2 linked regions of the Arabidopsis thaliana genome follow. The protein of the gene in region 1 interacts with the protein of each later gene in a pairwise test. Each region holds a gene or a part of one and is shown on either strand. Other genes may lie near its edges.

The links.
Region 2: the proteins of RHL2 (region 1) and TOP6B interact in binary tests that used the Arabidopsis thaliana proteins (3 or more experiments, as listed by UniProt).

Annotation. Positions count from the first base shown.
Region 1 is NC_003076.8:634,481-649,336, reverse strand, and holds RHL2 (Spo11/DNA topoisomerase VI, subunit A protein), read right to left. Parts: upstream 6,784-14,856; 5' UTR 6,680-6,783; coding exon 6,149-6,679; intron 5,967-6,148; coding exon 5,214-5,966; 3' UTR 4,943-5,213; downstream 1-4,942. Other genes in the region: LCL1 (LHY/CCA1-like 1), read right to left, coding at 350-543; AT5G02830 (Tetratricopeptide repeat (TPR)-like superfamily protein), read left to right, coding at 916-1,495, 1,571-1,658, 1,775-1,979, 2,085-2,192, 2,303-2,467, 2,556-3,149, 3,344-3,409, 3,507-3,587 and 4 more; PRR7 (pseudo-response regulator 7), read left to right, coding at 7,876-8,185, 8,287-8,448, 8,582-8,715, 8,887-9,051, 9,344-9,518, 9,617-10,064, 10,162-10,831, 10,935-11,054; CDL1 (Protein kinase superfamily protein), read left to right, coding at 11,963-12,071, 12,515-12,696, 12,782-12,971, 13,047-13,438, 13,529-13,792; GSTL3 (Glutathione S-transferase family protein), read right to left, coding at 14,479-14,481. UniProt on the Arabidopsis thaliana protein: Component of the DNA topoisomerase VI involved in chromatin organization and progression of endoreduplication cycles. Relaxes both positive and negative superturns and exhibits a strong decatenase activity. Involved in cell-elongation processes.
Region 2 is NC_003074.8:7,257,350-7,275,459, forward strand, and holds TOP6B (topoisomerase 6 subunit B), read right to left. Parts: upstream 11,402-18,110; 5' UTR 11,150-11,401; coding exon 11,068-11,149; intron 10,979-11,067; coding exon 10,926-10,978; intron 10,833-10,925; coding exon 10,735-10,832; intron 10,637-10,734; coding exon 10,531-10,636; intron 10,386-10,530; coding exon 10,248-10,385; intron 10,111-10,247; coding exon 10,059-10,110; intron 9,949-10,058; coding exon 9,884-9,948; intron 9,584-9,883; coding exon 9,477-9,583; intron 9,337-9,476; coding exon 9,234-9,336; intron 9,127-9,233; coding exon 9,041-9,126; intron 8,949-9,040; coding exon 8,752-8,948; intron 8,433-8,751; coding exon 8,317-8,432; intron 8,172-8,316; coding exon 8,086-8,171; intron 7,930-8,085; coding exon 7,857-7,929; intron 7,684-7,856; coding exon 7,592-7,683; intron 7,488-7,591; coding exon 7,349-7,487; intron 7,273-7,348; coding exon 7,178-7,272; intron 7,097-7,177; coding exon 6,922-7,096; intron 6,826-6,921; coding exon 6,676-6,825; 3' UTR 6,551-6,675; and 1 more. Other genes in the region: AT3G20760 (Nse4, component of Smc5/6 DNA repair complex), read right to left, coding at 1-17, 107-198, 285-595, 716-971, 1,157-1,237, 1,311-1,542; EIN3 (Ethylene insensitive 3 family protein), read right to left, coding at 3,353-5,239; AT3G20790 (NAD(P)-binding Rossmann-fold superfamily protein), read left to right, coding at 11,453-11,581, 11,683-11,823, 11,912-11,960, 12,108-12,125, 12,316-12,431, 12,525-12,638, 12,826-12,876, 12,955-13,043 and 4 more; AT3G20800 (Cell differentiation, Rcd1-like protein), read right to left, coding at 14,063-14,164, 14,254-14,323, 14,418-14,608, 15,082-15,177, 15,376-15,482, 15,690-15,732, 15,845-15,934, 16,106-16,177 and 1 more. UniProt on the Arabidopsis thaliana protein: Component of the DNA topoisomerase VI involved in chromatin organization and progression of endoreduplication cycles. Relaxes both positive and negative superturns and exhibits a strong decatenase activity. The B subunit binds ATP.

The sequences.
Region 1 (14,856 bases):
ACCAGATGCCAAGTCCTCTACTCAATCATTTTGGCAACCTAAGATAAGCTTAAACCATACTTCGGTTTTATGAGAAGAAACATTCATCAGCGATTAATATAAATTCTGATCTATCGAATATACAATCCAACCTAACAAATCAAAGAAGACATTGTTGCTTCTGCAAAATCCAATTGCATACGCAAAACTCCAGATGATCTACCACATAACCAAACTTCGATCTGATTAAGCAAATTAAGTAGAAATTACGCGAAATTACGCAAAATTCAGCTATAAATTAGAGCTCGAAACACAAAGAATCAGTCAATCAAATAGCTGGTGGAAGAAAAAAAGAGCGCGGTAAAATTACAATTGAAGAGCTTCCAGAAACTTGTCGTGTTCTCCTTCAGTCCAACTCTCTCTAGACTTGGTGATTGTGTAAGCTTTCCTCACCTTCTTCTCCGGTGCTTCACCAGCTTCCGTCGTTGCAATCGTCGTCTCTGTAGCATCTGTAGAAGTTTCCGCCGGTATTACTTCGGCGACCACCGGATTGGTTGAGGTCATTATCGGTATTTTATTCAAGATAGAGATCGTCTAGAGAGAGAGAGACTGAAGAGAGAAGGGGTTAGAGAGAGAAATGACGACGATATCCACATGGCGGGCAAGAAGTTGGTGTATAATATGTGGAGACGCTTCGCTTGCAATTTCAGGCCATCCATTTTTCTCCTTTTTCTTATTTTATTTCTTAAAATTTAAAATCAAAGTACCAAATCGGTTTATATATACCGGTGTATTTTAACACTACAAATCCGGTCCGGTGTGGAAGTTGTAAAAATAGCCTTTCAAATCCAATCCATTTGATTTACATGAAATTAGAAAACCAGAAAAACTGAGCCACAATGATGATACGATGATGATCCTAACCGTTGGCGAGGAATGAGAGACTTTGTTATTGTCTTTGGCTCCTCCTCCGCCATAACCAATCCTCACCATCACCACCGTCGCTGTTACGCCACAGCACCAGAGTCCAACCGGAAAACTAAATCCAATTCTTCTTTCACCAAGCTACTTCCGTCACTACCGCAGCAACATTCACCTTCTCCTGCTTCAGTCTCCGCGACTCATTCTCTCTCTAGCCACTTCTCCAATGTCGTAAGATGGATTCCAGATGGCTCGCTTGAGTATTACGCTGATTTTGCCTCGAAGCTAGCTGAGGATGGTCGAATTGAGGACGTCGCTCTCATCGCCGAGACTTTGGCTGCAGAGTCCGGAGCTAATGTGGCTCGTTTCGCTTCCATGGTTGATTATGATCTCTTATCGAAAGGGATTTCGTCGAATCTTCGACAAGGTAAGATTGAGAGCGTCGTTTACACTTTGAAGAGAATTGAGAAGGTAGGAATTGCTCCATTGGACCTTGTCGATGATTCGTCTGTGAAATTAATGAGGAAACAGTTTCGAGCAATGGCTAACTCTGTGCAAGTGGAGAAAGCTATTGATCTAATGGAGATACTTGCCGGTAAATACTATATCAATTCTTGCTGTTACACTGTGACTATGAACTCTTGAATTGATTACCTGCTTCTTATTTCAGGTCTCGGATTCAAAATCAAAGAGTTGGTGGATCCTTTTGATGTTGTAAAGAGTTGTGTTGAAATTTCCAATCCTCAATTAGCTATTAGGTAAGCCTTGTTTCCCACATAACGATTCAGGTTAATGGTTTTCAAATTCAGAAAGTTATTACAAGAATGCTGGATGTAGTGTGTTCTGCTAACGATTTGATGATTATTGAATGCAGATACGCATGTCTTTTGCCGCATACAGAGTTATTGCTTTGTAGAATTATTCATGGTTTCGGAAAGAAAGGAGATATGGTCTCTGTTATGACAGCATATGAAGCCTGCAAACAGATTTTGGATACTCCTAACATGTATATATGCCGAACGATGATAGATGTTTGTGGCCTGTGTGGTGATTACGTTAAATCGAGGTACATATATGAGGTAATTCCCTAATTATACTGTATTTTTGCGTAAGTATCCTTTACGCTCGATTTTGTCTGCCATCCTGCATTTGAGATTTGTAGTTAATTCATAATTTTGTGGCAGGATCTTCTCAAAGAAAACATTAAGCCAAATATTTATGTTATTAACAGTCTAATGAATGTTAATTCCCATGATCTTGGGTACACACTAAAAGTATACAAGAATATGCAGGTATGTTCTTTCTTCTGTCTCTTGAATACAAGTATTTGAATTGTCTAGAGAGTATTTTAGATTTAGGAGTGGGTGTGGACTGACCTTGAAACTCTACATGTCATGGGCAGATACTTGATGTTACAGCTGACATGACATCCTACAACATACTACTGAAAACATGTTGCCTGGCTGGACGGGTTGATCTTGCCCAGGATATATACAAAGAAGCAAAACGAATGGAATCTTCCGGATTGTTGAAGTTGGACGCCTTTACATATTGTACTATTATAAAGGTACAATATCAGTATTTTTGGAAAACTAAGTTTATCATTAGTTTTTGCTTTTATATCCCTAAGTCTCTGAATAATGTCTTAAGATCAGGTTTTTGCAGATGCAAAGATGTGGAAATGGGCACTCAAAGTCAAAGATGATATGAAATCTGTTGGTGTAACCCCAAATACTCATACATGGTCATCATTAATCAGTGCATGTGCCAATGCAGGTTTAGTAGAGCAGGCAAATCACCTATTTGAAGAAATGCTTGCATCTGGCTGCGAGCCTAATTCTCAATGTTTCAACATCCTACTGCATGCTTGCGTTGAAGCTTGCCAGTATGACAGAGCTTTTCGTCTTTTTCAATCTTGGAAAGGAAGCTCCGTTAATGAATCCTTATATGCAGATGACATAGTTAGTAAAGGTCGCACTTCCAGCCCAAATATATTGAAAAATAATGGTCCTGGGTCTTTGGTGAATCGCAATTCTAATTCACCTTATATCCAAGCTTCAAAGAGATTTTGCTTCAAGCCAACAACTGCTACATATAATATACTCTTGAAAGCCTGTGGTACTGATTACTATCGAGGAAAAGAATTGATGGATGAGATGAAGAGCCTAGGTCTTTCACCTAATCAAATAACATGGTCGACTTTGATTGATATGTGTGGAGGTTCAGGCGATGTAGAAGGTGCTGTACGGGTGAGTTAACTTTTCTCTTGATTTTTTTTTTAAAATTAATCATTCAAATCTCTTTCCTAAAACAGAGATATAGCATTAAGGTGATCATACTTCTCCAGCTTTTGTTTATAAGCTTCCAGATACATTCATAATATCAATGATGGGATTTGCAGTAATATGATAAGTTCCCTGATAGAAATTCTTTTCCAGCACAGATTTTGAGAACTATGCATTCGGCTGGAACCAGACCTGATGTTGTTGCATACACAACAGCAATCAAGGTATTAATCTCTCTCTTAGTGGTGCCAACATTTCTGCTTTGTTGTTAATTATTGTGCAACTCAAAGGTGTGAAGATCCAGACCTTATTATCTTGCAGATTTGTGCGGAAAATAAATGTTTGAAGTTGGCATTTTCTTTGTTTGAGGAGATGAGGAGATATCAGATTAAGCCAAACTGGGTAATTCTCCTCCTCGAATTTGCTTTGTTTCTTTTTGTCCCTTTCAGCTACTAACGCCACCTTCGAGAGAATCAGCAGACTGAAATTATCAGTGATGTGTATAAAATTATGCATATAAAGTCCAAAGCTATTATTAGAGTAGTCTAAATTGACGGAATGCATTTCCTAAAGATGGAAGCCGTTTCAAAATTTATTTCAGCATTTCTCAGTCTAGAAAATTGTTTCTCAGGTGACATATAATACACTTCTTAAAGCACGAAGCAAATATGGTTCTTTACTTGAAGTGCGGCAATGCTTGGCTATATATCAGGACATGCGAAATGCAGGGTATGAACAATTTTTACTTTTATGGTCTACTTTCATTTCTCTTCCTGATGGTTCCGCAACAAGTAAGGAGGCATTCCTTTTTACTCACAAACAAAGCCACAACACTGCAGGTACAAACCTAACGATCACTTTCTCAAGGAACTTATTGAGGAGTGGTGCGAAGGAGTCATACAGGAAAACGGTCAGAGCCAAGATAAAATAAGCGACCAAGAAGGAGATAACGCAGGGAGACCTGTAAGCCTACTCATTGAAAAAGTAGCTACACACATGCAAGAGAGAACAGCTGGAAACCTTGCAATTGACCTTCAAGGACTTACCAAGGTAAGTTACTGGAGACAATGAAATATTCATATGTGCTTGTAGTCCTATCAATTTAACTCTTTCAGCGATATGACCATGTCAAACTTTTGCATCCATTTACAGATTGAGGCTCGACTTGTTGTTCTAGCAGTTTTGCGAATGATCAAGGAAGACTATATGCGAGGTAAGATTCAAGACACCAATACATTCTCTCTCTCATGTAGTAACTTTTTGACTCGGTAAACATTTCAAACGGGAACAGCATACATGCAGCTTAAGTTAGGACAAAAAAATCAAATGTTGTTGAATTTTATGCCAGTAGAGACTAAAAAACACTTGTAACTAACTGAATCTCCTTTGCAGGTGACGTTGTAATAGATGATGTGTTGATTATCATAGGAACCGATGAAGCAAATACCGTTTCAGGAAAGCAAGAGATTACTGTGCAAGAAGCGCTAGTGAAGCTTCTACGAGATGAATTGTCTCTTGTGGTTCTTCCTGCTGGACAAAGAAATATCATACAGGATGCACACTGTGTAGATGATGCAGACCAAGAGAACACTAAGTCATTTGTTAGTATATCCTCAACGAGGAGACCTGCGATTCTGGAGAGGTTGATGGTTACAAAGGCGTCTCTGTATCAGTGGTTGCAGCGCAGAAAGTAGCTGCCTCCGACTGTTACATTACTAATCAGTCATCATTGTATTTTATGCTAATTCAAACCATATGCAGAAAAGAATGGGGAAAGATTGCATATCATCTCAATGCCCATCATATTGTATACAATCTTCTAAATAAACAAAAGAGTTGTCTTCTAAATAATCATCTGACAGCTATCTTTCCAGTTCTGTGTAGATTCAACCATAAATTTAAAACCAAATTTCGATCTTTGCAATAATAATTCACATGCTAAGAAACAGGCAATTGCATTATCAAAAATTCGAAATTTGTAGAGTACACTTGTTGGTCTATCTAATTGATCAGGAAGAAACCTGATTATCAGAGCCAATCCTGCTGCTGCAGTTTCAGGGGCAAGTAAACTTCCGATAAATACTGGAAACCAAAAGAGCTCAACGCCTGAATCTCAGCCTTTTGCTTCGTTTTCACCATCAGGTTAAGTTCCTCGACCCACCCGGGATTTTTCTTCACGAAATCCTCCTCTAGCATATCCTTCCCGGTCTTAATATCCTGCTCAGTCATCGGCAACCTACACTGTTCAGGTATCTTATACTTGTCCAAATCACTCGGCCTAATTCCAAGCCACTTAATATCAGGCGTAGTCAAGTTTGCACTATCATATGACATGTTCTTCGACCCACATCCATACACCGACAAGATCTTCAATCCGTAAGGATCACTATCCACCAAGGCAAGTACCGGAAGCTTAAGCTCCATTTTCATTTTCCTCAAGAAGAGCCTTGTAGCTACATCAGGCTGGCCTTTTGCAGTCACGATGATACAAGGGAACCGGTTATAGAATCTGTCTTCAGCTAACCTCATATAAGCTGCATCTTTTTCAACTAAGAGTATGAACATAGCATCACTCTGCATATCTCCAACCCGGTCAATGTTTGGTGGAATGGCTTTCCCACCCATTCCCATCTTTGTGCAATCTATCATGTCTCCATTGTCACTGAATATAAGCCTTCCCACCACCACACCTTTCTCTGCTGCAATGACATTGAGACTTGACCTTGTGCAACCGAGCATACATGAGACATCATCCAACACAGCATCACTCTGTGTCTGGTCCTGAAAATTCAGTAAGGTTGCGAATTGGTTCAAAAACCTTCCAAAATCGAAACTACAAAGAATCAATGCTAGAACTTTCGATTCAGGTTTACAAGAGCTGGATCTAAAACAGTGACTATCATTCTCTATTTAATGGGAAGAAAGTATCATCTCAAGTAAAATTGAAAGCAAGAAGAACCTACCTGGAAAAGCTTAACGTCGGTGTAGAAGAGATCACGCTTAGTAACGTGAATGTTCCTGAGGCAGAGTTGGTGGATAAGGGCGAGGATACGAGTGGTGATGGTGGTTTTCCTGACAGAAGAAACGGAGGCAAATGGACGGAGGGTAGATTTGTCTTTTAGCACTATACGGTCGAGCTCAGGAACATACAGCTGATTCGAGGCGGCGCGTGAAGGAACACTGAAGGAGAAGCCATCACCGGCGAGAATAGAACGGGCGATCTGGACGATGACTGTCTCTATCTCTGTCTGCACGGAGGAGAGTGAGAGATCTGCGACTTCACGACAGGAAGATGATAGAGAGAGGTCAGCTAGGGTTAGAGGTTTCGATGAAGAGGAGGAGGCACCGCCGGCTCCGGCGGCGGCTTTGATAGAAGAGGAAATATACGATTTGAGAAGCTCCGTGATAACGTCGTCTGATTCCAGAATGCTTTTGAAAGGAAGTTCCTCCGCCTCGTCATCTTTTGATCGCTTTCGCTTCTTCTTATCCGCCATCTGTAGATAGCCACGACGACGGAGACGCGGCGGCCCAGAGAGTTCTGGTACTAACAATGGCGGGAAAATTTACCCTTTAGGTCAACGTATCTCGTGAATGTTATTTCTAGGGTAAACTAAAGGGGTAGACTTAGAAACGCATTTATTAAGTTAATTAATTGTGCTTTTAACGAGATGTCGATATGTCCGAGTGGTTAAGGAGATAGACTTGAAATCTATTGGGCTTCGCCCGCGCAGGTTCGAACCCTGCTGTCGACGATAGTTTTTTGAATATTTTTTATTGGGTTAAAATCTTTTTGAATGGCCCATATGGTAAGCCCAATATTAACTACATCTATAAAATCTTTAAACGCTAGTCTCTTCCGCCAAAATCTATTCAACGGTCCAGATGAGTTTACCACTTGACGTTTTCCTTACCCACCATTACACGTGTCAGTTCAAAAAGATCTTAATAATCTGCCACTAGCCTCCTGAACGACTGTTTTTGATATACCATCCACGTCACTAATCCTCGCCAATATATGATGTGGAAATATCCGCTCTGACGTGGAACTTCTCGAACGTTCGGGACCTCTAGTTTTGTCCATGTCAGATATTACGATTTTTTAATTTCCTTTTTTTTTTTGTTGGCCCGAGACAAATCTTTCTAATATCTATCTATCTCCGGAAAAATAAAAATCGGTGGCTTATGGTCGTCTCCGATTTCCACTCTCTGGGAGACAGAAAAACCTCATAATCTCAAAAATTGTTCACTGTGTTTATCTTCCTTCTAAAGTTCTAAGAAGCTTCGATTCTTAATTCTGTTTATCGATTTGAATTCCTTGTTTCTATTTCCCAACCGTTAGCTGATTGTGCTAGATCCATTTTTCTGGTGATTGATGCAACTTCTGGAGCTCGATTCTTCGTTCTAGTATTTGATTATTGTAAGATCAGTACTCTCTTGGAATTTAGATGCTTTTGTATGGTTGGATTTTTATTTGATGTAATTTGTCTAGATTCGATTTTTTGATGATTCTTCAAAAAGTTACTTGATTAGTTGGTTTTTTGAGAATTCGTCGTTCTTCAACTCTTTTTTCTGTTAATCTGAGATATTGTACGATTCTAACTCCTCTAGCTATTGCAATAATCGAAATTAGGGTTTATGGCTGTGTTTTGATATTTTGATCATTTGAATTCAGCGAAGCAGAGTTGGTGTGATGAATGCTAATGAGGAGGGGGAGGGTTCACGTTACCCAATCACTGATCGAAAGACCGGAGAGACGAAATTCGATAGGGTTGAGAGTCGGACAGAGAAGCATAGTGAAGAAGAGAAAACTAATGGAATTACTATGGATGTGAGAAATGGGAGTTCAGGTGGACTGCAAATTCCATTGTCGCAACAAACAGCGGCAACTGTCTGTTGGGAAAGGTTTCTTCATGTGAGAACCATTAGAGTTCTGCTTGTCGAAAATGACGACTGCACTCGTTATATCGTTACTGCACTTCTTCGCAATTGTAGCTATGAAGGTCAGTTTTGAAGCCTATGGCCCAACTTTAATCTATAGCGCATATATGTACCCGTTTCGGTTCTGTTTGTTGATTGATTATTATTAACTCTGTCATGGCAGTTGTTGAGGCGTCAAATGGGATACAAGCTTGGAAGGTGTTAGAAGATCTAAACAATCATATTGATATTGTGCTAACAGAGGTGATCATGCCTTACTTATCTGGTATCGGTCTCTTGTGCAAGATTTTGAACCACAAATCTCGTCGGAACATCCCTGTCATCAGTGAGTTCTTTTTCCTTGGTCGTTTTACATTGAGCTCTTTCTTTTGAAGTTACACGATTTGTTGAGTCTTCTCTAGCGTATGTTGGAAAGTAGATGCTTTTAACTACATTCCCCTGTGAGATTTGTGTTGCAGTGATGTCATCTCATGACTCAATGGGGCTGGTCTTTAAGTGCTTATCGAAAGGAGCTGTTGACTTTCTTGTTAAGCCAATAAGAAAAAATGAGCTTAAGATCCTTTGGCAGCATGTTTGGAGAAGATGCCAAAGTGTATGTCCTTGCTCATATATGATTAATCTGAAAACCTGTTGGTACAACTGGTGATAAGTAGTAAACTAGAAATTCATGGTCTAATTGTGGATTGGTATCTTCTTTTTTTTTTTCCACATGATTGGTATCTTACTTTTTGGTTTCTCATGGTTTTCCTTGTTTCTTGTTCAGTCTAGTGGTAGTGGAAGTGAGAGCGGAACGCATCAAACTCAAAAGTCTGTGAAATCGAAAAGTATTAAAAAATCTGATCAAGATTCAGGAAGCAGTGATGAGAATGAAAATGGGAGCATTGGCCTGAATGCTAGTGATGGAAGTAGTGATGGGAGTGGCGCTCAGGTAAGACGAATGTGCAATACCGATAATCTAAATATACACCCGAGAAGCTATCCTTTTAAAAATTTCTTAACCACAAATGATAGGGGTCGGATGATCGAACTTCGCATGTGCACTCAGATGCTTATAAATGGTGGAAGCGCTTAACTAACCAATTGTAGAACTCAATGATGTTTAACTTAGATCTATTCAGTGATAAACTGGGTGAAAATTTCTAGTTCATTTTGAAGTTTTATTTTGCACATGGTTTATCTCCAAAACCTAGGTTGATTTTGACATACCTTTTTTTGTTCAGAGCTCTTGGACGAAAAAAGCTGTGGATGTTGATGACAGTCCACGAGCGGTATCTCTATGGGACCGAGTTGATAGCACTTGCGCCCAAGTGGTACATTCTAACCCTGAGTTTCCAAGTAATCAGTTGGTTGCACCACCTGCTGAGAAGGAGACTCAAGAACATGATGATAAATTTGGTAAAGAAAGGAAACTGTGATCTCTTAGTTTCTTCCATACTCTTCTTTATACTGAAACTCAAAAACATGATATTGAATGTTTTTCATCTATTTTGCAGAAGATGTCACAATGGGTAGAGACTTGGAGATTAGCATTCGTAGAAACTGTGATCTGGCCCTGGAGCCAAAAGATGAACCCCTATCTAAAACTACTGGCATTATGAGACAGGATAATTCGTTTGAAAAGAGCTCTAGTAAATGGAAAATGAAAGTTGGAAAAGGACCATTGGACCTCAGTAGCGAAAGTCCTTCAAGTAAACAAATGCATGAAGATGGAGGCTCGAGTTTCAAAGCTATGTCTAGCCACCTTCAAGATAACAGAGAACCTGAGGCGCCTAACACTCACTTGAAAACTTTAGATACAAATGAAGCTTCTGTTAAAATTTCTGAAGAGCTAATGCACGTGGAACATAGTTCAAAGAGGCATAGAGGAACTAAAGATGATGGGACACTAGTTAGGGATGATCGGAATGTGCTGAGGCGTTCAGAGGGCTCAGCTTTCTCAAGGTACTTTCTTAGAATCAAACCTCTGTTTTTTCTTCCGTACACAACCTTTTGAATGCCTTATTGAAGAACTATGAGATCGACTGTTGGACTTGTGCAGGTATAATCCAGCCTCAAATGCCAATAAGATTTCTGGTGGGAACTTAGGAAGCACTTCGCTTCAGGATAATAATAGTCAGGATCTTATAAAAAAGACTGAAGCAGCATATGATTGTCACTCGAACATGAATGAGAGTCTCCCCCATAATCATCGCTCACATGTCGGTAGCAATAACTTTGATATGAGTTCCACGACTGAGAACAACGCTTTCACAAAACCAGGAGCTCCAAAAGTAAGCTCAGCAGGATCTTCATCAGTGAAGCATTCATCGTTTCAGCCTTTACCCTGTGATCATCATAATAATCATGCCTCCTATAACCTTGTCCATGTCGCTGAGAGGAAGAAGCTACCGCCACAATGTGGATCCTCAAATGTGTACAACGAAACGATTGAAGGTAACAACAACACAGTGAATTACAGTGTGAATGGAAGTGTATCAGGTAGTGGTCATGGAAGTAATGGGCCATATGGAAGCAGTAACGGTATGAATGCTGGAGGAATGAATATGGGAAGTGATAATGGTGCTGGCAAAAATGGAAATGGCGATGGTAGTGGAAGCGGAAGTGGAAGTGGTAGCGGAAACTTGGCGGATGAAAATAAGATCTCTCAAAGGGAAGCTGCTTTGACAAAGTTCCGTCAGAAGAGAAAAGAGAGGTGCTTCCGAAAGAAGGTAAATTCTCGGTCAAATCTATAACAAAGGAAAAAAAAAGTATTCTTGTAAATTGCGAAAGCAAATGCAAACCGCAAAAATGTTTTTTTTTTGGCTTTCTCAGGTACGATACCAAAGCCGGAAAAAACTAGCAGAACAACGCCCTCGAGTGCGAGGCCAATTTGTGCGTAAAACAGCCGCTGCAACTGATGATAACGACATAAAAAACATTGAGGATAGCTAACGGAAAATCAACAAAACCCACTATTTCTCAGCCCAAAAACATGAGTAATGTGCTCATATCTATCTTATATATATATATCTATCACATGTTTTAACATTTTCCCTTCAAAGTCTGATTCTTTGATAATACTACTACTATTCACGAAACAAAGACACTACGACATTTGATTGTTTGTTATTATTGTCGTTGTCTGGTCTGGTTTGTGAAATTAGGACGAAGGGTTTGGTTTCAGGATGTAGTGAAATCTTTGTAGATGTTGTAAACTTGTAAAACAATAACCCCTTCTCTGTATATTTTTTGGTATAAGCTTGCTTTTGGAGCCGTGCATAGTACGGTGTCGTATTGTATCAACATTATCTCTTTCAATATCATTTAGCTTATATCGTAAATATATATATTCTTAGAAAAAATCTGTCTTTGATAAACACCATTTTAAAATAGGAATAATCAATCTCTTATACCCAAATGATTGGAAACTATAATGGTGACCACGATTGTTGCTTATTAAAGTTCAATTTCAATATTGTTACAACTTACAACACAAGAAATTTATTCAATCAAATAATCTCTTTTTGTGTGTTGAAAAGAAATTTAAATTCCATGGGGGTAGTTAGTTGATACTACTTTGATAAAATATAATTTTTGTTTGTCTTTTTTTCTTTGACAATTAATTTTTATTTGTCAAAGTCAAACCCATTCACATTAATTTGTATCACAAAAATTAAATTGTTTTAAAAATATATTTTATATCAAAAGAGAAAAATCGAAAAATCCAGCGATTGGCTTGGCGTGCTTTTTTTACATTTCAAAGTTCTCTAAGCTTCTCTCTCTCTCTCTCGCTTTTGAGATCATCGAACACAATCGAAACGAAGAATCATTTGAAGAAGAAGAAGATCGTGAGAAGCTTAATGGGTTGGATCCCGTGTTCTGGGAAATCGAGTGGGAGGAATAAGACAAGGAGGAACGGTGACCACAAACTCGACAGGAAGTCTTCTGATTGTTCTGTGTCTACTTCAGGTAATTTCTCTTTATAGTCTTTGTCCAATTTTAATTCTGGGTTTAACCTTCTCTTACTAAATTATGGAAATTTTTATCCTTTGCTAAAACTTTCTGATTCCTGTGAGCCATCATCGTTTGCTAATGCTGATTAGGGTTTTTGACTTTCTGTTTAAAGATTGCTTTTTTCCTTCCATTTCACTAGCTTTTGACTACTCTGTAACACCTGTGTTAGTATTTTGACAGTGATGTGTTATTGCATGTCTCTTTCCTGTTAATTGTTGTTATTGCTCTCCAGTGGAAGTTGTGGATTAAACTCTTAAATGGGACTTGCTAGATCCTTAAGTATCTTGCTATATTCTTAGAACTTTAATTTGTTGATTATTGACCTTGAGACAATTATGCTCAGCTTGTGTTGATTAATTATTTCTTCTTATCGCTTTCTTTTCTTTCTTTTTTTGTAGAGAAATCTAGGGCCAAGTCGTCCTTGAGTGAATCCAAAAGTAAAGGCTCTGATCACATTGTGGCACAAACGTTTACATTCTCTGAGTTAGCTACTGCCACTAGAAACTTCAGAAAAGAATGTCTTATAGGAGAAGGAGGATTTGGTAGAGTTTACAAAGGATACTTGGCCAGCACTAGCCAGGTTCCTTCCCTTTTTTTTGCTTGGTTTTAACCTTTTGAATCTTCTTGGTAGTGAAAGCTCACTGTCATTATATCTTCATTTGTAGACAGCGGCTATCAAGCAACTTGATCATAATGGTTTACAAGGAAACAGGGAGTTCCTCGTCGAGGTTCTCATGTTGAGTCTTCTTCATCACCCGAATCTTGTTAACTTAATAGGATATTGTGCTGATGGAGATCAAAGGCTTCTAGTCTACGAGTACATGCCCCTAGGTTCACTTGAAGATCATTTGCACGGTATGCGCTTCTAAGATCACACATGCCTATGAGAAGTCTTTAAATTTCAATCGGGTGATGCTTTTTTTATTTCAGACATTTCACCTGGTAAGCAGCCACTTGACTGGAACACCAGAATGAAAATAGCTGCCGGTGCTGCAAAAGGTTTGGAGTATCTGCATGACAAAACCATGCCTCCAGTGATCTATCGAGATTTGAAATGCTCAAATATTTTGCTCGATGATGATTACTTTCCAAAGCTATCCGACTTCGGGTTGGCTAAACTTGGCCCAGTTGGGGACAAGTCTCATGTGTCCACTCGGGTTATGGGAACATACGGATACTGTGCTCCCGAGTATGCAATGACAGGCCAGCTAACACTCAAATCAGACGTTTACAGCTTCGGTGTTGTTCTGTTGGAGATTATAACTGGTCGGAAAGCAATAGACAGTTCAAGATCTACTGGAGAACAGAATCTAGTCGCATGGGTAAGAAAAAAAAACAAATTGGGAACAAACTTTGTTTTCTCTGCGGATTCTTCCTTCTAATTGTATTCTTTGAAATGCTCTCTATGTCAGGCAAGGCCTTTGTTTAAAGACAGGAGGAAATTCTCTCAGATGGCTGATCCAATGCTTCAAGGTCAATACCCTCCGCGAGGGTTATACCAAGCACTCGCTGTAGCAGCGATGTGCGTACAAGAGCAGCCAAATCTTAGACCTCTCATTGCTGACGTCGTCACTGCACTTTCTTACCTCGCCTCCCAAAAGTTTGATCCTCTGGCTCAGCCAGTCCAAGGATCCCTTTTCGCTCCAGGGACTCCACCTAGATCAAAGAGGGTCTGAAAATAATCCCGAGAACCGCAATGCTGTGTAAGTTATGTAGCTTAAACCCATTCCGTGCTGTCTTTCTTGGAGAGGAAAGGTGGATGATTTTCAGACTAAGTGTGAATGTATGGCTTAAGAGCTACTTGTAGATATGTGTAAGAAGAGATAGATTCATATAGAGGCCGGTTTATAATGTTGTTATAGGTGATGTTGTTTAATGTAATGTTTATTGAGCGCTTGCTTTCAAATGTGACAATTTCTCATTATTGTACTGAGGATGTCTGCTTCGATTCCAAAGTTATTGTATAAATATTAAAGTACTATAGTTTTCAAAACTTTAATGTGTGAGATTTTGATTGTATTGATATCATATTACAATGTCAAGGATTGATTATTGGTGAACAGTCAAATATAGATCAAGCTGTTGCTGCAAGTTAACTATACACCTTATCCTTATTGCATCATCTGGTTCTTAATGTGTGAGATTTTGATAGTATTACTATCATACAGTAATATATTAACAATGTCAATGGTTGATAATTTGATCAACACTAGAATACAGATTAAGCTGTTGCTGCTTAAAGTACAAATCTTATTGCATCATCAGGTTCAAGTACACATCTTATTTCTTCATATCCAAAGACCACCTGTTCGTACAAGGTGGTTTGGTCTCATACACTTTACTGCTTCGTGCTTGCTTACAGTTACTGCAAGAATATAACCGGAATTAGACTCACATTTAGTATAGACCATTAACCGAGAAAGTATTAAACAAGTCATTTGGCCATAGTAATAGGCTAGCTGATGATTAGTGCATGGTCTTTGCTTTCAAAACGTCTAAGTCGCAAAACGCTCGTTGGAGAAAGATGAGATTGTCTCTGAGCCAGATGCTAAACCGACTCGGTTTTCATTCCCAAAACAGAAAACTAACCCAAAGCAACGAACATTCACACCTAAACAACCAGATGCTTAAAGGCATATATAGCTTTTATGTTCTAACCCCCAAGAAAATATGAAGCAACTCACATTTGGATCCATTAAAATCATGTGGTAGTTCAGTTAAAAAAATTATATCCTAGTTG
Region 2 (18,110 bases), on another chromosome or scaffold:
ACCATTTTGCTCATTGGCTATGCAATAATCACCAAAACCCCAAAATCATTAGCTAACATATACCATCTAGACACTTACTAAAATAAAATGAAACACTAATCTATACCTCCCAATCTTTGTAATCAAATCTAAGAACAAAATGGTTATAAGCGACCTCCCCTGACAGCACCAGGTTTGCTGCAGGAGCATTCCTTGGCTCTGAAGACAAAGAAACCAGTTTTTTGGGGTTAGAGGGTGAAATCAACTACCAAAATCAGACACAAGGAAGGAAAGGTAAATCTTACCAACAAAATGAGAACCATTGTTATCAACAGTTATCTCAACACGTCCATCTTTCACCAGGAATGAAAGTGCGAACATATTCTCTGCTGTCTGAGCAAATGATTTCCTATTGAGCACCAAATTCTCAATCTTGACACGTTTGTTTTTCCGCAAGATGTTAAACATTACTGCCATGTTATTGTCTGTATCACTTTTCTTTTCAGCTTCTGTATCATCAACCTCCTCTGGCTTAACACCAGCACCAGGCTTTGTACGTTTTCTGTTGCCCACTCTACTTTTCCTTTGTTTCATTTCACTATACATAGGACCCATCCTAGAAAAACAGATACAAAAACAGAACAATAAGTTAAAATATTATCGATATTGTCGAATAAGGTATACCAATTCCATATCCTAACATTAAGCACTAGTAAATGAGAGAAAGAAAACTCACATTGTTGTACAACCACATGATACCAAAACCGTGGAACAGACCGTAAACCCAAGATCCTTCCACTTCATTGACACTTGTGTATTTTCATCAGCATCAATTCTTAAAGAAGTTTTGCCAAACCCATTGATCAAGGCATTAACAAACTCAGCTGGAGAAACACCACCATGAGCTGATTGCGATTTCACCGATGAAACCACACTATTCGTTAAATCCAAAAGCGCCTCCGCATCAGCAATCTGCTCTCTAGGCTTCCGAACTGCAATAAAAATGTAAAAGCACCAAAAAAAGATATCATCAGTGAATAAAATTATCCTTGCTACAACTAAAATACACAACATAAGAACTAAGAACAGTTTTTAGGTTCATCCAAAATAAGAAACATCTACTAGTTTAAGACTTAGGAATATATATATAAACGAATTGGGACAAGTTTACATTTACCTTTCTGGTGCAAATTCTCAACCTCATTAATGATACTGTTGAACTTGTTAGAATCAATTTTTGTCAAGTCATCTTTAGCATCTGTACCAAAAAAAAGTTAGGTCAGAAAAAAAACCCTAAAAAAAACCCTAAAGTAGAAGAAATAGAATGTAACCTTTGATCTTGTGGGTAAGAGCAAGATACTGAGATCTTATAGCTCTCCGATCAGCAATTCCTTGTTCTTCTTCTTCCTGAATCGGCGGTTGTTGAGGCCGTAATGAAGCAATTACGGTCTTACTACGCTTCTCCTTCTTTACGATCTTTGGTGTCTCCGAGGACTCATCGGCTTCTCTTCTCCTGCTGCGATCTCCGGTTAATTCCGTTTCCCATTTCACCGAGTTTCTCATGATGATTTTAGAAAAAAATCATCTGAGAGACGGAAAGGAAAAAGGTGAAACGAAGAGATTATAAAAATAAGAAAGAAACCCTAACGGCGGCGAGAAGACGAAGAGACGTCGATAAATTTCCCGCCAACGTCGAAGTCTCTGCTATATATTTATTGGAGTATATTTTTTGTTGACTTTTTTGCCTAAAGATTAGGTTTCGGTTGACTATCCTCTGAACTAATAAATACTTGGTTAACTCAGGCTGAGCTATGTTCTGCTGCTCTAATGGTTGGTCATGATTCATGAGATTTTACTTCCCTTGGGTAATTACAATTATGTTTCAAGGAACATGTGGATCCTTGATACCCTGTGTGAAAAGTTGCGTCAAGGTCCAAGTTTGCGAGTGGCTCGCTATTTCATAGTTGTGAGATTAATTGATGCATGAAATGATTTACGTGTTTAAAGGGTGCGAAGAGATCAAACCGGAAGTGTTTGACACAAGACACAAACTTTGGAAGTGGCGCCACAATCCCACTATATTTATCTCTGTCTCAATAGAGAGAAAGATCTTATATTCTAGGAGTTATGGACAAGTGAAGTGATAGTTTATGATCCAAGAGATGGTACATGCATGTGAGCACTATTGCAATAAAGATGTTCGATGTGTGTGTGATAGATTATGTGATTTATGTATATAACTCTAGCTCCTCTTGGGTTTATGTGGTATGACTTTAAGGAGAAGGATTGGAGACTTGTTAATGGTTTGAAGCTTGACAAGTATTTGTGCTATCAAAATCTCAATGGCTGAATTAATATATATAAACCATAATATGGACAAAAAAAATTGAAATAGATAAATATTAAACATATGAATATTGTTCAATTAAAAAGACAATCAGGAAAAAGGTATTTAAGAATACCTCACATGTAAGGTCCTTTTTTTTTCTTCTTTCTTTTTTTTGGTGTTTGGTTTGGAAATGTGTGCTCGAGCACTCGACCTCGTGAACACAAGCACTGACCCATGCTTAAATGTTACCAACGAGCCACAAGCGACGAGAACGTTAACAATCAAATATGATTATTATTATCATGTTCCTATTGTAATAATAGTAACCTCTCCAAGCCGTTTCAAATAAGGATTTGCGTCATTGCGTGAGTAAAGAAGATAGAAACAGATATAAAAACAAATTTAGTTTAATGATCAATCAAAACTTAAAATCTAATCTAGGACCATTTTATAATTACAAACAAAAAATGAAATATATATTGTTCAAAAAAAAAGGTATTTAAGAATACCTTACATCTAAGATCTTATTTTGTTTTTCTTCTTGTTTTGTGTTCGGATTGGATTGTGTGTGCTCGATCACTCGAGCTCGTAGACACAAGCATTGACCCATGCTTAAATGCTACCCACGAGCCACTAGCGATAAGCACGTTATCCATCAAATACAATTGTAATAAATAATTATCCCACCATTCCCTAACTTTGAGGTAGTTAGCGTGAATTACACCAAACTTTTCAATTGTAAAAGTCAAACTCAACAAAAACACACAGAAGAAGAGAGCTTGCAAATATATTTATATTATGAAAACTTACATTTAGTGTTCGTTCATCCCCAAGTCGGGTGTGTAACTAAAAGCTGATGATGACAGAGAGATTCACCAAGCCGAGACAAAGACACACAGTAACAGAGAGTTTTTAGAGACTCTTACAGACACATCATAACAAGCGATAGAGACAGAGAGACCCAGGAAAAAATATTACATGGTTGAGTGAATGTAAGAACACAAAAGATAAAAATAAGAGAAGATGAAATCTACTACCAAGACTTTAGAACCATATGGATACATCTTGCTGCTTCTGCTGCATTCCATCCATCGTTCCTACTACTCCTGGCATCGACATATCATCTCTGTAATCGAATGACGCCATGTCGAACGGTGTGGAATCAAACACAAGCTGGAACCTGTTGCCGCTACTGTTATTGTTGTTGTTATGTGCAGCTTCAAAGTTGTTGTGATCTGCAGTGTCGAACTTAAACACATTGTTGTTGTTGTTGTTCCCTTGAAAAAACGTTTGATTGTTGCTGCTGTTGTTGTTGTTTGCTCTGTTTGGGATGTTCAAGTCTTCAAAGAAACTTCCTTCCACCATGTTTCCTGGGAACTGGAGATGTTCTTGATGGTTATGGACTGTGGGTTGAAGCAGTGACACGCTTTGATTTTCCATGACCATAGAGGTTTGGTTGCTCTGGACATTTCTGTCGTACATGGACATGAGCTCTGAGATCATCTTCTGTCCATCTTCAGGAACTATACCCGTTAAGTCAATTGGTTGGGCTACTGAGTTCACTGGCCTTGGCTGAGGAAATCCAACTACAGGCTTAACTTCATTGACATGAAACCTGGATGGTGCTGCTCCATACGGTAAGCGACTGTCTCGATGTGGACATGCCAGTTGATGGTTGTCTCTCGAATTCCTATCCAGAAATCCCCGGCTGATTTCGCTGTGCGCACACCCAAGATTCTCGCAGGTGAAAACGGTTCTGTCCATAATAGTGTTCAGATCTCTGTTTGGCTTTCTCTTTCTCATGAATTCCGAGTTTCCTGCTGGGACTTCTTCTTTGACAGGAAAGTCATGCATTTTAGCAACCATCCCAAAGTTTGAAGAATTCATAACTTTTTCTGGCTTGAGCTCTTCCACTTCATAGTGAGACTCCTTCTCGAAACCTTCAACATCGTATTGACTGCAATCATTCATCAGAAGCGAGCAACTTCCACCAGACAGAGAAAGAGGTGGACATGACTCGGGATAAAGCTCTCTAGCCAAGGACTCTTCTTGGTTAATAATAGCAAGCCAGGTAGCACTCTCTTTAGCAGTCATCTTATCCTGCAAACATTTAGATTGCCTCACGAGCTTACGGATCTTAGCAATATCAGGAAACATATGCTTGATAACCGCAGTCAAAACGCCGACTTTCCACGCCTTCTTCAAATCATGAGGCTTCTTGTAAGGTGCAGGACCTTGATCTTTAGGCAAACCAAGTTGAGGCCACCAATCCTCTTTCCCATTAGGCCACCACGGAGGAGGAACTCCTTTCTCCAAAGGAAAACGTCTCTGAGGAGGATCACAGTGTTGCATCAACGCAGACAAAAGCGATCCAAGAGTCGTGTCTTGAAGCTCTTGCAAGGTATGAGGAGTCGGTCCAATCGGGTTATTACCTTCATGAATCCCCGGGATATTATTCTCCGCTTGATACTTGGTAATAGCCGCAGGACCATTACGATCAAACCTAACCTTATCTTTCCACCACTCCCTTAAATTATCAGAAGCACCAGTCACAGGCTTCCCATTCTCCGGAATAATCCCATAAACAAAGCCTTGAGCTTTACAAACTTCCATCATCTTCAACATATACTTCAAGATCCCATCTTGAGCTCTAGACATTTTCTTCCTCCTAGCTTGCTCTTGAGACTGCCTCTGTTTAGCAGCATCAACACCTTCTTTACCCTTATCCTGCTCCTTGAGACGTTTAAGCCGCATTTTGTCTCTCCACATCCTCCTCTCCAATTCATCAACATCAATCTCATCATCAGTATAGTCATCTTCAACAATGGAATCAGGCTCAGCTTGTGGAACAGGACAGAAATCAACTTCACCAAGTGATCCAGAAGAGAAGAAATCCATGTTTCCACACATTCCCATCTCATTAAACATCATTGTAACCTGTAACAAATCAAATACACAAACAAAACTAATCAGTACAATTATATTTCTTCTGAATCAAACAACTTACTAAAAAAAATCATCAAACCCTAAATTATAAAAAAGGGGCTTTTCGAATTCAATCAAAGTTTTAAGTAATAAACACATAATCAGATCGTATTTTAATCACTCCTAAACTAAATAATCAATCGGATAATAAAAATTATCAACAGATTCAATTTCCAAAAAAAGGATGAGATCTTCAACATAGGAACCAAATATAGAAAGGATCATATATGAATAAGAAAGAGAAAACATTTTCAAATAGATCAACGATTTATAAACAATAAACAAAAATTCAACCAAAAAAAAAACTAAAAGTAGCATAAACTCATGAAATTAGATCGTGTAAACACTAGTAAACTAAAGTAAAACCATCGATCTAGTAAAACCCTATGAATAAACCTATCATCATCTTCAGTATCAATAATAACCCTAAAAAATCAATAGAAGAAGAAGCGTATAGTACCTGGAGAAATGAACAGCAGAAGAAGAAGGAGAATAAAAATGATGAAGAAAAAGGTCTCTGCCTTTTCTATGGTGATGGGAAAAAGAAGGAGAAGATAATAAACCCTAGTTTCATCAAAAGAACTTCGACAAAAGTTAGAGATACGAGATGAGGAAGAGGAAGAAGAAGAAGAAGAAGAAAAGTCGACGAAAGATCACGTGGCTAGAAAGCGACTTTTGTTTATTTGCGTTTCTTTGTGGAGTCTCTCTGTAGATCAGGAAGATAGATCATAGTATATATACTCTATTTATATATATATATATATGTTTAGATATATAATATACATATATATCATTTTAATTTCATTTCTTACACATAAAATTTAAGACATCATTTATTATTATTATTACACAATTAATATGTAATTAACAAAGCGCCTTTTGGCAATACTCACTGCTCTTCGTTTGTTTTTTTATTTTATTTTATTTTACGCGGTATGTAATTAATTGTTTCTTACGCGGAGTTTTATTTATTGTTGTGCTACGTTTTTTATTTTCATTTTTGGAATAATGGGTTTTAGAAAAGAAAAGATCCATTATCCATACCTCTCATTAAAATCGGTAGAGAGAAAAAAAAACGCACACTTTTTTTACAATTATATTTTATTACAAGTAGAAAAAGTTTCGTCATCATCGACAACTATTATCGATTATGACAAATCTGTTCTCAAGAGGTGAGAAAACTATTTTAATAAAAGTTTTCATGCTTCTTGATTGTTTTGTTTATTAATTATTATCACGTTCTTCGACACATTTGTTGAAACTAACCAAACATAGTGTTAAATTTTATGTCTTCTTTTTTCCACTTTTCAAGTGTTTGTCTTAAAATATCCCAAAAAACACTGAAAGAAAAGAATTGACTAATAGAGAGATGCAAATATGTTTTACAACATGAGCCTGAAGACAAAAGTTGGACTATGAAGATCTATGAAGTTGGATTTGTTGGGATCTAAGTGTTGGAGATATATATTTTCTCTGGGTTCTTCACTTACTCCACTTTGTGTTGCATACTCTAATGCCATCTCGTAGTCCACCTGAAACCACCACATATATTCAGCAAGAATGACTTAAAAGTGATGATGCAGTAGAAACTTATGCTGAGAAGTGATTGATGCAAAAAAAAAAAAGACCTGTTCTACATGCTCAGCTAGCTTTTCTTTCAATGTTTCTTTTGTGATTATCTGTTTAGATACTTTATCAAGCATAACTATGTCTTCCTCTCCGTAACGTTTTCTCTTTGTTTTATGTTCTTCTGTCATTTGTTTTAGAACCTCGTACACTGCCCCCGTTGCATCGGGGATGTATCTGCAAGCATTTCCAGTTTTGGTTATCTTTTTTTTCAGGGTTGGAGCATAAAATGGGAAGGACACTGATTATCTTTTTTACCTGCTCAAACTGCGTTTTCGCTCTTGTTGTTCACGGGCTTGCAGTCTCTTGACTATTTTGGATTTCAGTTGGATGCAGCATTGTTGAATTGCAGACTGATGGAAATAAAGGCGGAAAGTTAGATTTAATAAGATGTGGGATAACGTCAGAAAAATCTTTTCTTAATGTTACCTTGACTGCAGTAGCTATCTCACTGATGTCATCTCCTATGTACTCTTTCCCTGTCCCTTTGAATGGAATTTTTGTACTCACTATGCTCACAAATACTCCTATTTTATCTTGCGTCTGGTTGATCTTATAACTATTCCAACTGCAATGTTTTGAAAATACTCATTAATAAAAAAAAGTTGGAGAAAGATACCAACTATAACGATATACAGAGAGGAATACAGCAAGCTAAAGAAAGAGTCTCACTTGATTCTTTTTAAGGCCGTCCTGGTGACAACATCAGCTCCTTGTTCAAAAAGGAGAGGAATACGGTTTGCAAAACGGAATATGTTGATCCCCTGCCATTTCAGTTCCAGCAAATTCCCAAAATAACCCATTAGATAGTAGAAGAGTGAGATCGACAAAAGATAAAGAGCAATGGTTATGGTGGATTCATGCTCATACTTAGAGCAACCTTAAATCTATGAGAACTTGATGACACATGAATAAACAAAAGGAGGATATGACTTGCCTGTTTCACGTCTCTTCCACCCAAACTAACACCAGCTTCAACAATGAAAGGATGACCTTCGAAGACCTGAGCACTAAACATAGTTTCCAGGAAGAAGTCAACACTTGATGAAACAAAGCTCAGATTAACGACAAAGTAGGTAAAGCTTGACATATGAGATTACTATAAGAAAAATAAACTCCATATCTAAATCAGATGAATTCGTAGAAAAGAGGGTTGCAGTGACAACCTGCCGGAATACGTTGCCACCATATCTGGATGTAGCTCCTTAATAATCCCTAGACGAAGATTGTATTCTCCTGCTGGGCTAAGACACTACAGAAGAAAACCGCAGTATGAATAGAGCTAATTTTCGAAACAATACAGATGCTCTAACTTGAAATTTTATAAGACCCTCGAGAGAGATATAGAGATAATAAAGCAGTTCCCAGTGAACCTTAGAGAGAAAGTAGCTGCTTACATCACCACTAGGGTCGTCGAATTTAGCTTGGCGGAATAACTGATGTATGCGTACCATTTGCTGAGATGTCACAGATTTGACAGCCATGCTAGGCCCGAAATCAGGTCCCATTTCCCCTGAAAGAAAGAAAACAAGAATACTTATGACTGAATTTGACTAAAGAGATAGCACAGGCTTAGTAAATATAAAAGGCATGGATGATTTTCTCAGAATAATAACCAGCAAAATGAAGCAGAAAATTGCCATTCAGAATCAGCAAACATTTTTAGTGAATATAATAATCCGTCTAATCCATCAGGACATGTGATACAGAATTTCTTAATTGGATATCAGATCATTTCCATTGGCCAAGTAAAAGTACTGCCAAATGTGATGTGAGGGGGAATATTAAACAACTTCAAACTTATGTAACAAATGAGATTGATGTCATATTACCAATTAATCGTGCTGCAAGGGTTTTGTTAATATTCACAAATTCATTTTGAAGAAACTGCAGAAGGGTCTTTTTGGAAGTGTCTGTAATAAGGCGCTTGATAAGCAGCAAGTCAACTGACGATGGATGGTGCTTTGTCTCGATAGGAATAGGGGGCATCACATCCGTTCTTCGAGTAAACTTAATAGTGACATTTTTCCTACATGAAAAGAAGATTTAAAAACCCGATAATGCTGCACATAAAGAGCTATGTGACAGAGCAGCAAAAAAACAGAAAGATAGTGATCTTACTCTGGTGTCTCTGATATAAATCTAAACAGAAACTGCGCATAAGGAGTAATGACAGCCATTTGGCGCATATAGTGCAAGATCTTTGACTGGATACAACAAAAAAATAAAATGTGTTAAACAAGTTTGCGTGCATATATGTCTAATGAACACTTAAGAAATAATATACAGCAGAAGGACGAGCTAGACCACGTACTCTGTATGTTGTCCAGTTTCCTTCGATAACCACCTGTATTTCAGCCCCATGCCATTTCTCTTTGTTGCCCTTCTTTTCGTGCAGATGAATATGAGGAATGTTCCTGAAAATTTTAACCATTTGAAGACAATTATACGGCGTGGAAAATCCGAAGGATTCATAGCTATTATGTCAAATGCCCAAACATAAAAAATTAGATTGATATCCGCTTTCGAGAAGCTGCTCATGTATTCAGATGGGTACCTGTGAATATCAATATCCAGTCTGCAGAAAGTAACATAGTTTTGGCTCTTCATAGATGACGAGATCTCTATGGGGAGACCTGTACTCATTTTGGACCAGATTAAGGCCTGCACGCCAGGAAAATTTAGAGAAACTAGAAGGGTTAAACAAGTTCTCTGGAAAAAATATCGATATGAAGGGAAACATAGATATGTTATGAATATGAATACAAAAACAAAAGACCAGCTGCAAATCAAAGCCAATGATTAAATCCTCCTAAAGCAACATATACAACATATATTCCTTTTGTAAACCTAGGAACGAGCCATCTAAAGGCTGCAAATTTGAAACTGATAAACCACTTCAGCATTTCATGCAGTTTTACAGGCTAATCTCAGATATCAAACTTGATAAGAATAGATTATTACCATCTTTGCACCCAGACCAAACTTTCCACGTGTTTGCTTCAGTCCATACTTCGTCCCGGATAAAACTGTAAGAAGAACAATTTGTAAACTTAGCCTCAATATAAAGGTTTATTATAAGGTTGATATGCCAGGCTAAATCAATAGAGGAAGTGAGGGTGGTCATTAGCTATTTTACCTCTCCCAAACATATTTGGAATGTCATCATGTGGCATCCCCTTACCATTATCCTACATTATGATCAACTCAATTCATAACTCAAAAAATGTTTAAGAAAACAATTAGGATCTCCATATATTTATACATATACTTAAAATTGCATATATAAATTTCTGTTGAATCAAACAAATATTATTCAAACTCTCACCTTACATGTCACTTTGTAATATGAGGCTTCCCCACGGGCCTTTAAAACCTTCGATACTCCAGGCTCTTTGTTTTTCTTTCCCGATGCCAAATTTTTAGCTTGTATCTCACTGGCTCGAGCTTCCTTTGCTAACCTTTTCTACATAACAGGAAACAACAACAAATATTAGAATCACAAGGATTACAGAACAGTGAAACTTCTTGAACACTAAAAAGTAGCTTCTTAAAAGCACAAGGATTTGATCAGAACGAAGAAGAGAGTAATAAACACAGAATTCACGCACCCCACGGGCCTTTTCTGTCTCATAATCATCATACAGCTGTGTGTCAACACGTTCCCGATCGATAAGACCAATCATGGAGTTGAACTTAGATTTTACAATCTCTTCGCTTCAAAAATATAAACAAGACAGTCAGTGAACTAAACCCCTACACAGTTTCTCCTACCAGAACTAACATCTCGAATCAGCACGAAGTAAGGAACGTACATAGTTACTTCAACCTCAGGGAGCTCTGAAATAGACTCTGCAGAATCAAGAGCATTTTCAACAAGCTCTCTAACTGTAGTATAAAGCGACTTCCCTGGCTGATGAGATCCACAATTCAAAATTCGTGTGATACAGAATTGAAATTACAAAGATGCATCGTTTGAATTGAAACCAACAAATTGGGGACTCACATTATCAAATCCAGCAATGTTCTTGTTCTCCGCGAAAAACTCAGCTGGAGATTCTGCAAATTCACGAATTCAAAAAAGAGAGTCAATTGAGCTTAATCTCAATTGAAATCAATTGTGCAGCAAATGATACATAGAGCATTACTTTGCTTGAGCTTGCTCTCGTTGCTGTCCTTAGAGTTCTTCGAGCTTCCCTTCTTCGTTTCAACTAAATCATCACCCGCCATTGAAACAACAACAAATTGTGAAAATTTGAGTCAGATCAAACCAAATGTCTCAGAGTACAACACTACAAGTTTCCAATCAAAATTCAAAGCAGGATCTAGGGTTTTATGGAGGGAAGTTAAGGAAACTCGATCAAAGAGATTGGTTGCTGGGGTTATATCGGTCATTTTACTAAATTATAGCGTTTGCGATTGGACTTAGTGTTTCATGAGTTGTGTGGTGTGACTATAAGCAGCAACAGTTGTAAGTTAACTTGATTCTGTTTGGATCCAATAGAGAAAACCATTACACGAGAAAGGAAAAAAATGGTGAATCCTTCTTCACCTGGAATTGCCATACTCGGAGCTGGGATCTTCGTCAAAACTCAATACATTCCGAGATTAGCTGAGATCTCCGATCTCGTCGACCTGAAAGCGATTTGGAGCCGTACTGAGGTGACATTTCGATCAATGCGCTTGATTTTTGGGAGATGTTTATGCCAAATGTCTAAAAAGATGAAAACTTTGGCGAATTGTGATTTTTGTTATGGTTGAAGGAATCTGCAAAAGGAGCTGTGGAGATAGCAAGAAAGCATTTTCCTGAAGTGAAGTGCAAATGGGGAGATGAGGGTCTCAATGAGATCATTCAAGACAGTTCAATAGTTGGTGTTGCTGTAGTTGTAGCTGCAGAAACCATGGTATGTTTGATCTTAGACTTGAGAGATGCGTATGAATCTAGTTGGGACAGTGCATAGGATATTTCTTACTCAAAGTCTTGTGCTTTAGGTTGAATTGTCACTGAAGATGCTCAAGGCAGGAAAGCACGTCCTTCAAGGTGACTTGTCCACTTCATTTCTGCTCTGCTTTTATGATCGTCTTCTTTAGCAATGTTATTGCTTCTTGGAAATGTGTCCCAACTTAAAAAGCTAAAGATATTTCTTTTTTCTTGATATGTATATTGCTGTCCTGGATCGGTCTGCAGAGAAGCCAGCTGCTGCTTGTAAGTTGATCACTGCTCTTGTTTAAACCAACTTGGCATGTTGTTTAAGTTCCACTACTCTAGCCCAGAGTCAATTTTTCCTGTTGAGCATGACCCATTTAACGTGAAACTATAGTCTTCCTGGTTATGCCACTCTAAAGTGCAGATGAAATGCTTTATTCCTATTGTTTTACAAGTTTTTTTGTTGCAGCAATCAGTGAGATAGAAACTGCAATGTCAAGCTATAGAAATATTTCTGCTGATTCCCCATGCCGTCCAATTTGGGCTGTGGCTGAAAATTATCGTTTTGAGCCAGCTTTTGTTGAGGTAACTGTTACTTATTGTCTTCTTGGCACTACCTATTTGAGCAAGTAATATTGTCCTTGAAAAATTGAAGTATTTCATGGTTGCTTTCGGCAGTTGAAGAAACTGATAGCAGAAATTGGAGATATGATGAACGTCCAGCTTATTATTGAGGGATCAATGAACAGTTCTAATCCTTATTTCTCAAGCTCCTGGAGGCGAAATTTGAGTGTATGTAATACTTTCTATTCCGTCACATTCTTATTTTGTCAGACTCTGTTGCATTGCATCTTCCTAACACGCTGCTTACTTAGACTGTAACATAAGAATTACACTGACATATATATCAATCACCCATATATATCTTGAAGAAACTGTGTTATCTGTTAATATTTTACAGAAAGTTCTTCATATGCAGGGTGGTTTCATCTTGGATATGGGTGTACATTACATTGCAGGATTAAGAATGGTACCGTGTAACTTCATTAGCTGATAAGCTTATCTTGCTGTGGATCCCAAGTATGATATATTGGTTTTTCATGAACAGCTTGTTGGATGTGAGGTAACATCAGTCTCAGCCACCACTACCCATGTGGATAAGACTTTACCTGGACCAGACAATATAACATCAAACTTGTAAGTGTAAATACATCAATCTTGTTTCTTAGCACACTAATTTCACATGAACATACTAATCCAGGATGTTTGCTCTATAGTCAGCTCGAGAACGGATGCTCTGGGGTTTTTGTTATGGTTGTGTCTTCAAGGTCTCCAAAGGCATGTAGTAAGACTTAGATTTTCTTCTTTCCACACCGGTTTAGCCTAATAACCATAGTTTTTCTTACATAACTTCTATTTGTTAGATACTATGGAGAATCGTAGGACTAAAGGGCACTGTTCAACTAGAGCGTGGAGTGGAAGGTGGCCGACATGGTTACATGGTTTGTATACTTTAACATGTGACCATCTGAATGATCCAGATTTTGCTTGAAACTACTCAACTCAAATGGCTGTGATCTTATGAAATTTTCAGGCCACGATTTACGGGGAAGGAGGGACATCAAGGACCATCTTTTACCCATTCAGCGGAGTGACTGAAGAGTTAAAAGCGTTCTTCAATGATATTTCAGAAACTTCAAAGGTAATCCTAGAATCTTAGCCTTGGAATGCAGGAACTCATAACATGAGTATTCTATTACCTAAACTCTCCTATTATGGATCCGTTTCAGGAGCAAGAGCCTCGTCTATCATATGTGGAAGGTGCTCGTGACGTTGCAGTTCTTGAAGCAATGCTCGAGTCTGGTGCGAAAAATGGAGCCGTAGTCCCTGTCAACAAATTCTAGCTTTGAACCTTTATTAAGTACGATTAGACTCCAACATACCGCTAAAGCTTTTGCTGGAATAAAAATTGTTACCGTTCAACATGATAATACAAACTCTATAATATTTCTTTTGTAACCAATCTTTTATTATCCCAAGACTTATGCATTCTGGGGGATTGGTTCTAGAGCTTAAAAATAATTACAATAAGAATTTCAAACAGACTAAAAAGCCTATAACCCATCATCTAAGTTAAGGCATTAAAAAGCACATGTATAATTAGAAACAAAAACAGAAGAAACACACTCCATGGATGGGTTTGAGATGGATTCAGCTCAAAGCATGTGCTCAAATCCTCCACCTTGATGTGTTGGGACGCGACCAACTCCAACATTGTGCACCAACTGTTGCAGCCACCTTCTTGCAGTTGGATCCTCCTGAAAAGAAGTACACAACAAGTTTTCAACTGAATCATCTCTTACACAAACAATATCAAAAACCAAGTCAAAAGATGACGATGACTTACGCGAAGACAATTGCTAAAGGATCCATCTCGTAGCGAGTCAGGGAGACAGCTTGCGAGTGCAGCACAAGCCCTAATTAACACAAAAGCTTAAGCATAAGAAAGCCAAACACATGATAAACTACGAAAAGTCATTTCTGAGTAAGTTTGTTTTGGGCTAAATCAACCTTGGGTTGTCTGATAAACGGAGATAGCAACGAATGATATGCTTCAAAAGGCGCGGAGAAGGCTGCTCCACAAGTGACTGAACCATATTTCCCAACACTCGACCAACTGCAAAAAACCGCTCTGCTGTTGTGCAGATGTAATCCATCCCCACATCATCCAACAGTATCTTTTGAACAATAAATGTTGCCACCTGTCATTAACATTATGTTAATACGTAAGCAAGGGGTTGCACACTTTCAATGAGTTTCAATGTAGACACCATTTCATTGGCGCAGAACTGGTTCTATGGAAACTTTACAATCCCAGCCTAGGATATATAAAAAAACTCAGAATGAGTAATTTTTGGGCTTAAGAGAAACAGTTAAATGAAGAAACGAGACTCATTTTCTTTTAGGACTTTAAAAGTTAGGATTTGGATTATCATTTTAGGTAATACATTCATACACTTAAGAGAAACAGTAACAAGAAAAACTGAGACTCATTTCTTAATATGATTTTGAAAGTTAGGATTTGGCTTATCATTATTAACGATTTCAAATGCCAAAAAAGTTAGAAATAAAATCACTAACAAATGTGCATCTAAAACGAATTTTAAGACTGTCAAGAAACTTAAAGAAGGTACCATATGAACATGAAAATGTAACGGTAAATTAAAAGACTTACTGTTTTTGACAGCTCACTCCCCATTTCCATGGTACGGAGGCACAGAGGAATAATTTCAGTTGAAAGAAGGAAGCTAATGACCTCTGTATCATCAACCTGGAAAACAAAGTGAAATAAGGATCCGATGAACCTTTCTTATTTCATACACTAACCACCAAAAAAGAATATAAATTCTCTACTTTAGAAACCAAGACCACTAACACAATTTTTAGTCCTTTGCTTTCAGCAAAAAGTAGGTGGGGAACATCAAAACCAAAGAGAAACAAGGAACAGAAAAGGGACGGGATGGTGTACCTTCACAAGTGCACCGATGACACCTAGGCTAGTAAGCCGCAAGTATTCGAAAGGTCTGGACTTACTCGTTGTATTAAGGAAGGGATAAAGGTACAACGGGATATGAGCTGTGCACAAGAACGAAGAAAAGGCATAACAACAAATTCATCAGTTGTATTGCTTCACGAAATAAACTGAAACCATGCAATAAATATACAATAAACAGATAACCCCACTAACTCGTATCAAATAGACAAGAGCATATAATAGACATCCCCAATGGTACATACTATATAACATTAAGCTTAGCCTGATGAAAAGAAAAAGAACATTACCCTTGAGAAATAACATTCTCGTGTCAGAATGAGATGCTACGCACTGCAGAGTAAAACAACAAGACAGAAAATCATTAGAAATCTGATGGATTCAGCAAAATATATGAACATGAAATAAAACATCCTAAATAAGAAGACGAAATCTCCATGTGAACCTGAAGAAGAGCGAGCGAGTTGCAAACACGGTTGGACTGAGCAGGAGTCAGATTTGGAGGTGCAAGAACAGAGTAGATTGATACAATCTCCTGCAAGCACAAATAGACGAAACAGTCAAATCAAAACCACGCTACTAACACCGAATAAATAGCATTTAGATATAAAAGAATCATTTGCATTCAACGCTCATCAATTTAACAAGAAAGGAAAAGCATTTAAGTAACTGGAGATAACCGAAACAGATGCATTTAAGTCATTACCTGTAACAAGGCAGCAATGGTACCAAAAGAGTTCCACAACAAAGGCGCCAGATCCTGAAACAATTCTCTTTTCTACAAAAGAAACCACTAATTCAGATACTGAACCAAGTTCCCAAATTCACATACTCAACACAATTTGAGAAAAGTTCTCAACTTTAGCAAATTTCAAGAGTAACCCTAGCGCTCGTTGACGAATCAGACAAAAAAAACGACTGCCCAGATGGAAGAAATGAAGAAGAAAACATGAGAGATTATAAGAAAACCTTGGAAAGCTCGAGAAGAGCATTTTCTCTGAGTTCAGGATTGCTGAGATCGAGTACCAACTGTTCAGCAGAGGCCAAATTGCGATCTTTGTTGGCCGGAGCTCCGGTAGGATTTTGTGCGGAGGTGCTAGGACCACCGAAAGGTGTGCCCATGGAGAGAGAAGAAGGTAGATTCGCCATTCTCCAGAGTTGGTTTTCTCGTTTGTTTGTTAATGGGACTTTTCAAGGATTCGGTTTCTCCCTTCTTCTCTCTTCTTTATAGATGGCGATTACGCCCCTTTCTTCCTTATTTATTTATTTTCATGTCAAAACAAAAAAAAATGTTTAGTTTCAAAATAGTTTTAATCATCACTATTTACGACTTAAACCGTTTTTTATTTGTTATTCATAAATTATAATATGTAGTGATGCATATGGTAAACAAATAAACAAAAAGTAGTGTTAATTGGTTTGTGTACAAAATTAAGTTATAAGTTAAACAACATGAATGTGAACGGAAATCAATTTATCAAAGCAATGGCACATAAGCAAGAAATAGTTCTCTAATAATATCATTAAGTTTTTTAATCATTGATGTAAAATATCACATATGAGTCCAACATAAGAAAATATTTTTAAAAAAAATTGTTGACTGAACGAATTTAGACGGACCAAAACGTAAGAACTCGAACACTAAATGAGATTTAAATTTTCAAGATAGGCGTAAATGTAACCGATGCTTCTGAAACAAATAATAAAAGAGTTAGAAAGCTTTATAAGAAAAGTACAAGCGGAAAATCTGCGGTTTTCCAAGTGTGACGATATCTTTAAAAAAAATTCTATTAATTTTCAACTTTTTTTTATTCAGAATATATATTAAAAAACTAATAAAATAATGTTTTGAGTCAAATGTCACTATGTTTGTAGTTTAATTTCTGCATATTACGTAAATTTTAACCTTAAATCTACATATAAATTTTTGCAGCCATTTTGTGAAATAAATCATATAGTTGAGACTTATTTACAATGGCTGCCACTGAATTTTAATGTTTGTTTTTGATAATTAGAAAGAGAGTCGGCTATGGCCTATGGGCCAAACTGGCCAAGCATGGGATTGTAGTGGTTATGGCTCATAGTGGGAAGGTGTTTGAGTAACCATGTTTACATATTTTTTTAACTTGTAAACATACTATTACTGAACCATATATTATTTTGGGCTTGTGGTCTTCATTTTGTTAGGGCCATTTCTGCTTATAAACAATTTACTGAGTATAATTTCAATATTATTTCGCGGTCAAAAAAAAAAATTCAATATTATTTCTGTGTCAAGTTTACATTTTATGAATTGATTTCCAATAAAGCATAGCATAAGCAAAACAAAATACTTGGGACTTGAATGTTTCATTGCATTTTAATTTTTGGAATATCAGTGTCATAAAGCATAGTGTGTTTGCAGTAAGCCCACTGGAAAAAAAATCATATGTAAAGAGTGCTTTTACTAGGCCCAGCGGGAAAAAAATATTTTGACCCAAAAGTTAACAAAAATTAGGACTGTTTTTATGTGAGATTTCATTTGTTAATTGAGCATCCATTTTGTAAGTGCTCAATTAACAAATGATATTTTGACCCAAGTTAACAAATTAAAATGTGTATGTCACACCAATCAACAACATAATACTATAATTCTTATCTACCAAACTAAAACCACAAACATAGATTTTAGCATAAAATACACAATACAAAATAAAACTAAACGTAGGCAT